Drosophila melanogaster: one gene and its partner. The protein of the gene in region 1 binds, or shares a complex with, the protein of each later gene. Each region holds a gene or a part of one and is shown on either strand. Other genes may lie near its edges.

Evidence for each region.
Region 2: Pcl (region 1) and HDAC1 share a complex: the UniProt entries of both Drosophila melanogaster proteins name them as parts of the form of the Esc/E(z) complex.

The regions. Positions count from the first base shown.
Region 1 is NT_033778.4:18,133,600-18,140,490, reverse strand, and holds Pcl (polycomblike), read right to left. Parts: upstream 5,066-6,891; 5' UTR 4,568-5,065; coding exon 3,080-4,567; intron 3,021-3,079; coding exon 2,848-3,020; intron 2,793-2,847; coding exon 1,718-2,792; intron 1,651-1,717; coding exon 1,255-1,650; 3' UTR 501-1,254; downstream 1-500. Other genes in the region: Hsf (heat shock factor), read left to right, coding at 6,411-6,620. UniProt on the Drosophila melanogaster protein: Polycomb group (PcG) protein.
Region 2 is NT_037436.4:4,624,848-4,630,114, reverse strand, and holds HDAC1 (histone deacetylase 1), read right to left. Parts: upstream 3,382-5,267; 5' UTR 3,176-3,381; coding exon 3,133-3,175; intron 2,696-3,132; coding exon 2,583-2,695; intron 2,505-2,582; coding exon 1,259-2,504; intron 1,164-1,258; coding exon 1,000-1,163; 3' UTR 648-999; downstream 1-647. Other genes in the region: axo (axotactin), read left to right, coding at 1-299. UniProt on the Drosophila melanogaster protein: Catalyzes the deacetylation of lysine residues on the N-terminal part of the core histones (H2A, H2B, H3 and H4).

The DNA of each region.
Region 1 (6,891 bases):
GTCTCATAAAACACAATCCAAAATTAGGAATGCAGTTTTTTTTTCTTTTAAAAATGAGCGTAGACTTTTAGAAAATGATTTTTTGGCACTGCACAGATATTAGCGTATGCTCCGAAAACCGAATCCCATCTTTGTAATTCCCCACTGTGCGAACTTACCTAAATCAGAGAATAAAGCGATGAGGCTGCAAGTCGACACTCCGAGAAGTGCTTGAGTACTTCTTTTCGTTCTCGATGGAAATCGGCACTACAGAGATTGAAGAATTTTTTAAGTTTTTTTTTTGTGTTTTTGTTTTTACGAAATAGACCACATTCAAGGATGGCTGAGGATAATTTTTTTTTTCTTTTTCCCGTTTTGAACGTCTGGTGCATGTGCCCTATCTGGCGATCGAGTACCTAATGAAGCGGTGTGAGGCGTCGGTGCCTGACAAGCTTCAAAGCGAAGTGTCACTTTGGGCGCCTACTGGCGTGTCCTGAGTAAAATCTTAAAAGATTTGACATTTCGGAAACATTTATTTGGGCATTATATACTTCATTAAACATATTTCGATCTGGTTTGGCCAAACATTTACTTGGCTTGAGAATTAGTTTGCTTTCAACTCAATTTTGATTTTTCGTAGCATTTAATAGTTAAACATAAAACGTACTGGCTTAATTCATTATTGTGTAGTTTTGCCTAGACTATGGGTGAAAATTATTGAACTAGTCCTACATTTTATTAAATTTGTGTGTATGTATGTATATCAATTGTTTTTTTTTTGTATGCATGACATGATTTGTGAGTTTTCCCATTTGAAGGTATATTTTTCAAAAACATACATGGGCGTGGCGTATCGCTAAAGTACAGTACTGAACTTAACTGAATTGTTCTCATTATTTAATACGTTTTCATTCATCAGCGAATTTTACATAGGCTTCCAGATTAATCTTGTAATACTTTTACCAATTTTGTGAAAACTTATTTATGTTCTGCTGCAACACTTAACTGCCATTGCACAATTATAACCTGTATTCAGTTGCTTTTTGCTTTTTTTTCGTTTTTTTTTTTTACAATTTAACATTTTATCGCTTTAATGCTGAACCAATATTTTGAACAATCTTTTTCTATTTTGGCAGTGGGTTGGTAATAAACTTTTAAACATTAACAAATAAAGAGGCCCGTAGTTGGCAGCGTTCATTAATACATAATAACGAAAAGAAATGATAATGGAAATGAAGAATATAAAATTCATAATGAGTCGGTATGCCAAAGGGTTCAATTTCCAAGCAATCCAATCGCCGTTGTCGCTGTATCTCCGCCCCACTCCACCAGGTACTGGACCTGTCCATTTCCCATGCGCCGCTTGGCCCGAATGGCAAAGGGCTCACCAGCATCTATGCGATTCATAGCGCCACCAAAGTACTTGTTCACCGACTGCTTCAAGTCCAGCATGGAATGTCCTGGGGCTCCAATGCCGTTGCTGCTGCTGCTGGTTGCCGTCGAGCTGGTGGAGTTCCGGCGGCTTTGGCTGGGTGACTGCTTCTGTGGTCGCTGGCGCAACAGGCGCCCATGTGTCGGCTTTCCCATTGGCGGCGCGGGTGGCTGCAGATCTTTGGCATAGATAGGAAGGTAGTGGCTGGGTATGGGATTGATGGTGGTGGTGCTGATGACCTATTAAGTGGAAACGAAAAAAACATCTCAAACATTATAGTTACATTGTTGTTAGTTAAACTCTTACCTCAATGGCCGTGGTCAGGCGGCGAGTGCGTCGTCTGCGCACTTCCTGATTGGGCCCTATCGTAATGTCTTTGGCACTCAGTCTTCGCTTGATGGTGCGCACCATGCGCGGCTGCTCCTTGGAGGTGCCCTTAAGCTTGAAAATGCTGTTTATGATGCCATTTACTCCGACTCCAGTTCCCACAGAAATACTTCGTCCCTGCGACGCCTTTTTGGGAGTGGCCATAAGGAATGGATTGTTGCGTCCCAAAAAGTTGACCGGCGGTGGTATGATGAGGTCCAACGAACTGGTTCCCCGACTGCTGCTTGAATTCTCGTCGGATGATAGATCACAGTGATTGCGGCTGTTGTCATAGCGTTTGGACAATCGGAAAGCCTTGCGCTTCCGACTGCTGTTTGCGTCCAGCAGAGGTGGAATGGGAGCTGGTAGTTTGCCGGGATCGCCATCGTTGGCATTGTCGTCGGCGAGGTCCGGCTTCAGTGGCAACTCATCATGCTTATCGGCCTTCTGAGCGGCCTGCTTTTTGGCCTTCTCAATAATCTGTTTGATGGGTATTTCGTCCTCGCTGGTCTCGACTGGGTCATCTTCATCTGTATTAAACTCATACACATCTTTGGGAACTCTTTTCGGAAGCTCGTTGGCACCTTCATCAGGCTCCTCGGGCATGAGCATTAGTTTAAATCTTTTTTCGAGCAGCTCATCGGACAGCTCCTCGTGGGGCTCAAGGAATACCTTGGGAATGTGTGGCGGGCCACTGTGTCTCAGTGCATAGAAGGCCGGAGCCCTTTTAAACTCCCTGCCGCAAACAAATCTGTCAGAGTAATCCTTAAGGGTTTGCTTGAGACGCTCCATCAGTGCCGTTTCGGGCAGTGTGCGCCACTTCTCGCAGATAGGCAGCTGGTGGCGCTGCTCGAGTATGAAGGGCCAAATGTCATTTAGCAGGTGATGGTACTTCTGGTGCTGATGCTTTCGCAGATTGTATAGTGCAATGTGGAGCACATCCACCCATTCGATTTGCATACGACGAACGAATTCTATGCCATTGTTGCAGACCGTGCAGCAGAAAACAAAGAACCTAGACAATGAGATTCATTTCAGTTTAGATCACAGTAAAGCAATTGAATACGTACATATCGCCGCGCAGCAGCTTCTTCTTGAAGTTCTGCATGCATTGGGTGTGGAACCAGTTCCGACATTTGCAGCACTGCAGCATATTGTGATCGAATTTTCCCGGTTTGCCGCAGTAGCAGTAGATCTGCTCTTCGTTGACCCGATGCTTCTCATCCCAGCTGAGCTTATCCGCCTGTGGGTAAAACCGGATTAAGAATCTAATCCGCTGGCTTGGGTTCGTAGAATACTCACATGGTAGGGCAACTGGCGACAAATTCCCGCTGGTTTTGTGATCTTATGGCTGACAGGCTGTTGCATTTTCATGGGTTTAGCGCAGCGTTTGCAACTCCAAATTCCACTGCCAGTAACAATTTCAACGGTGCAACCACGATGGTAGCCACGTCCGCAGCGCTCGCAAATTTCGACCACATCTTCGATATCCGATCGCTTGCAGGCCACGCACATGGGTCCACTGGGGGAGGTATTCGTGGATTCCGTGGTAGAGGCACCGCCTCCGCCAGCGGTAATCGAGCTACCGCCACCTAGCTTGCGCAGCTTATCCGGTTCACACCATTGCTCCGACTGGTCATCAAAGCGGATAAGATATTGATCGCTTGTCTGGTCAATAATGGTGCCCAGGTAAAATCTGCCATCGTTGCATTTGATGAAGACGTCCTCCTGAAGCGCATACGTGACCGCTGGCGAGGGAGCGGCAACTGGTGGTGCCGGCGGCGGTGGTGGTGGTGATGGAGGTGTTGGCGGCGTTGGCGGTGCTGCTTCGACGGTCTTGAAGCTTGGCTTCATTGAGTTGACGCCTTTGAGCAGCGATTGCGTGGCTAGTAGCGGAGGCGAGGGCGAACTTTTACCGGGTGAACTCATGGCCTCCGGCGTAGTTGGCGGTGTCTGTGGCGTTGTGGTCGTAGAATCCGGCTCATCCACAATCACAACTGCTGCTGAGGTGGTCGCGGTACCACTATAACTGCTGCTGGATACAGAACTGCTGCTGCAGCTGCTGCTATCCGCCGTGCTGCTGTCGATGAGGGGCAGGATGGCCTTGTGCTGGATGGCCGGTATGATGGGCGAAGGTTGTTGGGCCGTGGTAAGCGATGAACTTAGCGAAGTGGGCGTCTCCGTATAGTGGTTATTGATGCAAATGTTTATGCGGTCTAACACGACGGTGGAGGGCGGTGAGGTGGAATTGGTCACAGGCACCAGCGGCGGCGGCTGCAGTTGCTTGCCAGTTCCGCTGGCCGCCAGTAGATTGATTTGTCCCGCAGTTTGGCCACCGCCACTGGGCAAGTAGTACGACTGAACGGGAGCATATGTGGAGTGCGCTTCCTGTGGCGGCTTATTCAGACTGTATACACTTGGCGCCGTCGAGATGATTCGTATGTTGTTGGCCTTGAATGGGCTGCAGCTTGTTGCCGCCTGTTGCTTCGGTGGCGTTGATTGCTGAGCGAAACTGTTCGTGATCTGGATGGTGCTGGGATGTGTGGGATGCGTGGTCTGCGGCCCAGTGGTGGCATAGTATCGCTTGGCCACCGTGGCAGGTCCTACGCTGGGCGGCAGGATCTGGTAGGTGGTCGTCATCCACTGCGGCTGCTGGCCAGCTGGCTGTGCTAAGTAGCCGTAGGTGGCCGGAGGAGCTGATGGGACAGCGGTACTCGGCTGTTGCATGAACGGATGTGCCACGTTCTGCGGTGGATGATCGTGTTGCAAGTGAAAATGGTTGTTCATCATTGCGGCTGTGTGTGCGTGCTAGATGCGTTGATTTTTCCAGTGCGCAGTCTTTTGTGAAAAATATGGATCTTCAGTTCGATTTGCCGGCTTTTCGCGGCCCGTTTTTTCATTGATTTTGCGATTGTTTCCCGCTGATTAACACGAGCTCATTAATCTGGCGCCTTTTTCGTCGAATTTGTTGTTGCCCGCCGACACATACATGCACACTTTTGCTACACATACGGACTGGAGAGCGGGCCCTTTTGTATTCTCTGTGTCTTCCTCATTCGTACTTTTCCACACGCACCACAGGCACTTCTAGTTTCGGTTGCCGATTTACCCACCTTTAAGTGTGTTTCGAATCGTGCATTAAATTAGCATTTTGCTCTTATTGATTCGGCTATCGGCTTTGAACGTCGTTGTCCCAAGTTCATCTTTAACACCAGCGAAAATGCACAAAACAAATCACTTGAAAATTAATTTGTGTCAGCCATTTTTCAACATATGCCCACCAGTGTGACCGCATCCAACAATTGTTCTTTTCGTTACATTTTCATATATAAATCTACCACAACTTATGTATGTTATGGTAATAAAATTAACTTGATTAAAATAAATAAAGAAATATTGGAAATTTGTCACCACAATTTTACATTTTTATATTTTTAAATATATCGAAACGTATAAAATATACCATAAATTTACTTAATTATCCCCACTGTGCCGGCAAAGACTCAGCGGTCTCGTCCTGGAAAATACTAGAAAATACATTTAAATATTTCCTAAAGATTCAAAAACGTTAATATCATACATAATTTACATTTTAAATGTAGAGTGACAATTATTAAATCAAATTAAAAAAAATAAAACTAACATTTATATTAAGGTAAAACTTTTTGATTGTCAAAGTAAATCCTATAGAAATTTCAAAATGAATGTTAATTTTTTTAGTAAGTATGCCCTTTGTATGCTTTTATGTACAACTTATCTAAAATCAAACCAACTAATTTTAATTTTAACTCATAATTATCTTAAAGATATCAAATAGAAAATACCAAATACTAAAATCCCTATCCTTTGGTCTGCCGTATTAAAATCGACAGTTGCCTATCAATTAATGTTATGGGTACACATATCAATACTAGCTTTAAAAACAAATAACAGAATTTGATAAGTTTTTAGTATAATGATCATCTAGTAATTGGGGTCAATTATATGAATACGAAGTTGCGCGCCAGAAAATACTAGATAAAAACCAGAGGACCAAGCAGACAGCTAGCAATGGTATATATAGCAGCGAACTTTAGTTCGATAGGTTTTTACCAAATTGGTCACGCTGCGAACAGAAGCAATTTTACTTGACGGAGGTTTCATTAAATTTTCACTTGTGAATAAAACGCGAAAAAGCACTTAAAAACCGAAGAACTGTGTAAAACAAAAGCGGTACGCCAAGAAAGTGAAGTGTAATAACTAAACTAAACAAGTAAAACGCGAGTTTTTCACTTCGCGAAAGGTTTGTGAGCTGCAAAATTGTTAAGGTAAGTAGGTTGAGCAGGAGAAGAAGAACTGGAGCTCCATTTGTGCAAGTTGGTGGCTCGAATGACGCACTTGGCTGCAACCGAAAACATTCGATTCGATCAGAGCTGCAACTTTCACATCAAAATTGTACCCATATGTACATTTTACATATGTATGGTGTACCTGGACACGCACACTGATTCCCGCACCCATACACACACTTAAACACACACACATACAGCGGCGTGGAAAAGTGAACTGTAAACTGGAAAAAAAGCGTTTGTGTTGGTGTTGGTGTGCAGTGAATTCATTGAGTAGTACTCCTTTCCAGGCTGCTGGTCACTTTATGTCCAGGTCGCGTTCATCCGCTAAAGCCGTGCAGTTCAAGCACGAATCGGAGGAAGAGGAAGAAGACGAGGAGGAGCAGCTGCCTTCCAGGAGAATGCACTCTTACGGAGACGCCGCGGCCATCGGAAGCGGGGTGCCGGCCTTTTTGGCCAAATTGTGGCGCCTGGTGGACGATGCCGATACCAATCGCTTGATTTGCTGGACCAAGGTAAGCCTACGCCGCCATATTGTTTATTTACCTTTCCAGGGACTCCCCTCCCACCACATACCGCTAATCAGCATGGCAACAACAATGACTTGGCCATGCAGGTGTCTCAAGCTCTCTTTGTAGCGTTTCGCTCTCTGTTTTGTTGTTGCCCATGCCGCATCGCACGTATGCAAGTTGCCTTCCCCACACACTCATCTTGTTGTTGTTGTCGATGTTGCCATTTGCATGCGTACGTGCGTGAACTCTGGAAAATTTTCCATCTCCAACTGAC
Region 2 (5,267 bases), on another chromosome or scaffold:
AGCAGCAGCAGCAGCAGCAGCAGCAGCAGCAGTCCTTTGATGTAGCCACAAATGCCAATGGGTCCTCTCTGCCAGCGAGTCGGGTGAAAAATCCGGAGGAGCCGGGAGGAAAATCCCCATTGGTGCCGATGCGACAGCATCACTCGAAAGTGACGCGCCCACCCCCGCCGCCGACGCTTTTCCTGGAAAACTCACTGCTGCAGCGCCAGTTCGCGAATCCAATTAGTTACTTGGGTGGACCGCGTCTGCAGCCGCGCAGTAATCGCACCAGCATCGACTCGATATTATCGCTGGATTAGCACCGCAGCCAGTTTCCAGTTCTCCGCCCACTGCAATCCGTGGAAAACCTCGCCGACTAGTCACAAACTGTCAACTGGTGGGCGGGAAAACCCCCAGTGGATCCTTTTCTCCCCCCCAAATGCCACAATCTCCTCAACTTAGAAACTCAAAGTTAAAATCTTAAAAATTGTTAGCTAGTCCTAGTTAAAATACAAATAAATTGTTACAAATTATCGTTTAGTTTGTTACTAAGAAACCTAAATGTGGAAACGTAAGTATTTTGCTAAAAATGGGAAATCGAATACTTCCAAAAGAAAATATTTAAAAGATAGCAGCTCAATTAATTTTCCATTAAAATTAAAATCAATAAATGTATAAATATTTTTATTTGATTAAATTAGTTTCTGCGTTATTCGCCACATTGGATCGCTTGTAAGTATGCATTCACTTTTTGCTTAGCTATACACTTTCGATCTTAAAATAAATTGTGTTTCCGCCCACTGATTACTGATTTATCCCCCTTTGGGAATATTCCCACTGAAAAAAAGGAGCCGATCGCAGTGGGACCTTGTGTAGGGGCGTGTAGAAAAAGCCCTGGACATGGCTACGGGGCGTGTTGGTGAAGGGGGGCGCGGGAATGAGACGACACTAGGTGAAATCCGGTGGCTTGTACTTCGGCGGTCGCTTAATTGGCTTCTATAACCAATTGCGGCCGCCACGTCAAATGTTGTTCTCCTTGGCGCCCTTGGCCCCGGCACCGGAACCTGATCCCGAACCGGATCCGGCATTAGCTGTCGCTCCGGCATCATTATCGCTCTTGTTGTTACTGTTGTTGTTGCTATTGGTATTAGACGCCGTCGATTCCTCGCCATCAGCTCCGTCGCCTGAAAACAGCATAATGGTTTAGTTAGTAGGGTTTAAATACAAATTACAAGTGGTCAGTAGAACCAATTAAAATGACTAATGGTTAATCACTCACCCTTTTCCTTTTCGTCCTTGATCTCGCTGGACGTCTCTGAGGATGCCTTGTTGCTGTTGGTGTCCTTGTCGAGACGCGGCCGCTTCCGCTGACCCTTGTACGAACGGTTATCCCTGCGACCGCCTTCGCCCTCATCCTCCGAATCGGAGTACTCGTTCTCGGGCACAATGCGCTTGTCCTTGTCGCTCTGCGGCAGGCGATCATCCTTGTCGACCTTGTCCTCGTCGTCGGACTCATCGTTGATGGCATCCTCGGGAATCGCTTGGATTTGAACGCCCGGAGCGTGAGGCAGCATGCGCAGGTTCTCGAACAGACGGTTCTTGATCTTCTCCAGGTACTCGGATGTATTCTGATTCGTCATATTGCTGGGACTAATGTGCAGCTTAAAATCGGGCCCAAAGTACTCGAAGTAATCGTTGTAGGGCAGTTCGTTGGCTATCTCCACGGCCAGTGCAACGGAGGTCTCATAGGTCCAGCAGCGGGATACATTACGAATGGTATAACCACCACCGCCGACCATCAGGAATGGCAGGTTATATTTCTTCACGAACTCCACGCACTTGCCGTGACCCTTGACGGTGAGATTGAAGCAGCCTAACCGATCGCCAGTCAGCGAATCGGCGCCACACTGCAACACCACGGCTGCCGGCTGGAATGTTTCCATCACCTTGCTGATAATGGGCACAAATATGCTCTCGTACGCATCATCATCCATGCCATCACGCAGGGGTATATTCACCGCATAGTACTTTCCCTTGCCGGCGCCAATGTCTCGCAGATCGCCAGTGCCCGGGAAATACTCTCCGTACTTGTGGAAGCTGACAGTCATCACACGATCGGTGGTATAGAACGCCTCCTCCACGCCATCGCCGTGATGGACGTCTATATCTATGTAGAGAACACGCTGATGGTATTTAAGCAGTTCCAGAATTCCCAGAACAATGTCGTTGACGTAGCAGAAGCCCGAGGCTTCCGATTTTTTGGCGTGATGCAGCCCACCGCCCCAATTGATGCAGATCTCCGAGGCTTGCTTATTCAGTTTTACGGCCGCAGCTACGGATCCTCCGGCGGAGAGTTGGCAAAACTCGTATAGTCCATCGAAGACGGGACAATCTTCGCCGACATTGAAACGCTGCATCTGCTTGTTGTACTCCGACATGTTGTCCGGCCGAATGGATCGCAAGAACCGGACGTACTCGTCCGAGTGGAACTTGGTCATCTCATCGGCAGTGGCTTTATGGGGACGCTAGAATAGAGAAATTCGCGTTTAAATCTATCATATATATATATATATCTATCATCACATATTAATAAAGTAACTCACGTATATTTCCATTTTTCGATAGAGCCCATAGTTGAGCAGCAGGTTGTGGGTCATGCGTATGCGATGGGGCTTCATGGGATGACCCTGGCCATAGTAGTAGTTGCCAATGTCGCCTATGGATCAAAAATCGCAATTATGAGCACGTTGAAAAAGTAATTATTTGCCACGCTATGTGGAATACAAATTTTAAGGCCACTGTCGGCGAGGCGTCTGCCTGAGAGCAGCACTTTTTCCGAACGACCGCAGTAGTAGCACTTTCGCCCCGAACGAAAAAGCAACAAAAACACACAGAAGAGGAAGATAGACATCAGGTACATACACACACAAACGCATACAAACGCACTGCGGTCGTATGGAAAAAGTGCGCTGTGGACCGGAACGCGCTCGTACAGTCGCCGTAAAACTTGAAATTTGCAAAAATGCTATCATCTGATGCTAAGTGGATGCGGAAAAAACACAAAGTCGACATGGTAACCCTAGCTGGCACTTTGTAAACACAAATTACCCATCTAGTAGGCCTTTTACTTCCATTTAAATGCTCAAAACTTACTGTCGTAGTAGTAACAAACGCGCTTTTTGCTGTGAGACTGCATTTTGCGGTGCTGTTGGCGGGTCTTAAATCCCCTTAAAGTCGATGTTTTTCTATCCTTCGTCGATCGGATGAACTTGCGAGCTCAGAAGATGGTTTACTTTGGTGCCGGTCCGATTTTTGGCACTTTGGCGCAACTATATAGCCAAAATCGGAGCGCACAAGACAAATTCGCGAAGAGGAAACCTCTGCAGATGGGCAGTGTGACCGCGGACTTTTTTAAATCCACACTTCCCGGCTCTGCAGAATATACTTTTAATACTAACTGCATGAATACCGAAAATACCAAACAAATATATTTAATTATTTATTAAAGAAATATATTTAATAAATTTACATATGAAATACGATTACCCTCTTCATACAGAGTGGTCATTTTTTATTAGATATATAAACAATCAGACCTATGTACTTATCAAAAATTATCAAATATCACGACATATTTTTTGGAAAAATAGCAAGGATCAATTATAAGTTTATAAAGCAAAGTTTATTGGCTAAGATCACGTTGCAGAGTCTGAAGCTGGAACTAGAGATGTTGTTGGAAAACATTTAAGTTTAAGCATTCGAATAAACTAATTGATTTCAATATTTTCTATACAAATATAAATGATTCATTATAATTTAAGAAAAACAAAAACACAGAAGTAATAGGTTGTAGTCCGGGGTAAATAATGTTAAGTCGATTAATCGATAGGAATCCATGCTAATATCGAACTTGGCCCATCGCCAGAGGGTGCATTCCCTCTCTCTCTTTCAGAGCATCACCCATCTCGCTCTAAAATCCACCGCAGTTTCCCACGATTTTCCTTCTCACTCTAAAATTCACCGTTGAACGACTCGGACGCGATTTTCCAGCGCGGGTGATTTTCCTCCTCGGTCGGCGTTTTTCGGCGGCTTCTTATCGACAAACAATAGTGCTCAAGTACAACGAGATTTTGTAGTGTTTTGGAGTTGCTGAATTAGAGGCGATTGTTAATTGAATAAAATTAATAAAACGGCGACGCGTAAGTTTCCAACTCCCCCATGTGCAAGTGTGCGTGTGTGCCCTGTGTGTGTGTGTGAAAAAAGAGAAAGAAGAATGGAGTTGCAGTGGAAACACAAACACGCTCTCTCGCTCCATCTCCCTCGCACGCACACACTCACTGGGCGAATGAAGAAGTGGAAAAATTAAAACCGAAGTAAAGTGACAAAGCGAAGTGGCCAATAATGCAAGAAAAAACATATGAAACCCGCAGTGAACATTTAAAACAAAATTAACATTTTTCATAGGCGGCTAAAATATCCTGCGCAGCTTTTCTCTTTCCGACTTTTCTCTTTTTCCCTTAAGAGTCTTTTCCTATGCCTTTCCCCCTCGGAGACCAACGCCTCTCCTTCGCAACTTTCTGTTACTTTATGTTAACTTCTCCCCTTCTTTCTCTTGGTTTTCCTCCTGTATTTTTCTCTGTTGTTGTTGCTGTGCCCGCAGGATATTTAAGACCTTTTTTTGCTGGCGTTTAATTATAGTTTTCATTGCTCTCTCTCCTTCCCGCATCTCTTTTTCCAATTAGCGTCGAAGTTCGGCGTAAAGTAAACAGCAAAAATATAGTATTTGTTGTTTTTATTTGGCCCGCAGACCGTGCAGTAAAAACAACAACTTTAACAGGCGTAACTGTAAAGTCCGCTTTGCTTTTGATAGCAAATAAAGAGAATCGGAATCCGCAGCAAAGTTTTGATTTATTCTAATTAAAAAAGGTAAGTGCGATATAAAACCGGATTATAGCTCCTTTTCATTCGCACCTCCTTGGCCCGAAGTGCCGTTAGGAAGAGAAGCCAATGAACGCAAATAAGTAAACACAAAAACTAAAAAAAAGAGTGCTAGATTTGCTCTCCCGCTGCATTTCTATTTATGCTTCTGTGGCTGATAATGTGTACAGTGAAAAGTCGAAAGATGAAAAAATAATGAAGAAATGGAATAAAGCTTAACTTAAGGAATCTTAAGACTTGTTGTTTGTTATATTTCGACACATACTAACCATTTCTTCAGGCTTCTTTGCGCTTAAAAAAATACCCAATTGGAGTAAATTTGAAAAAAAAAAAACATTTCAAGCTTTATG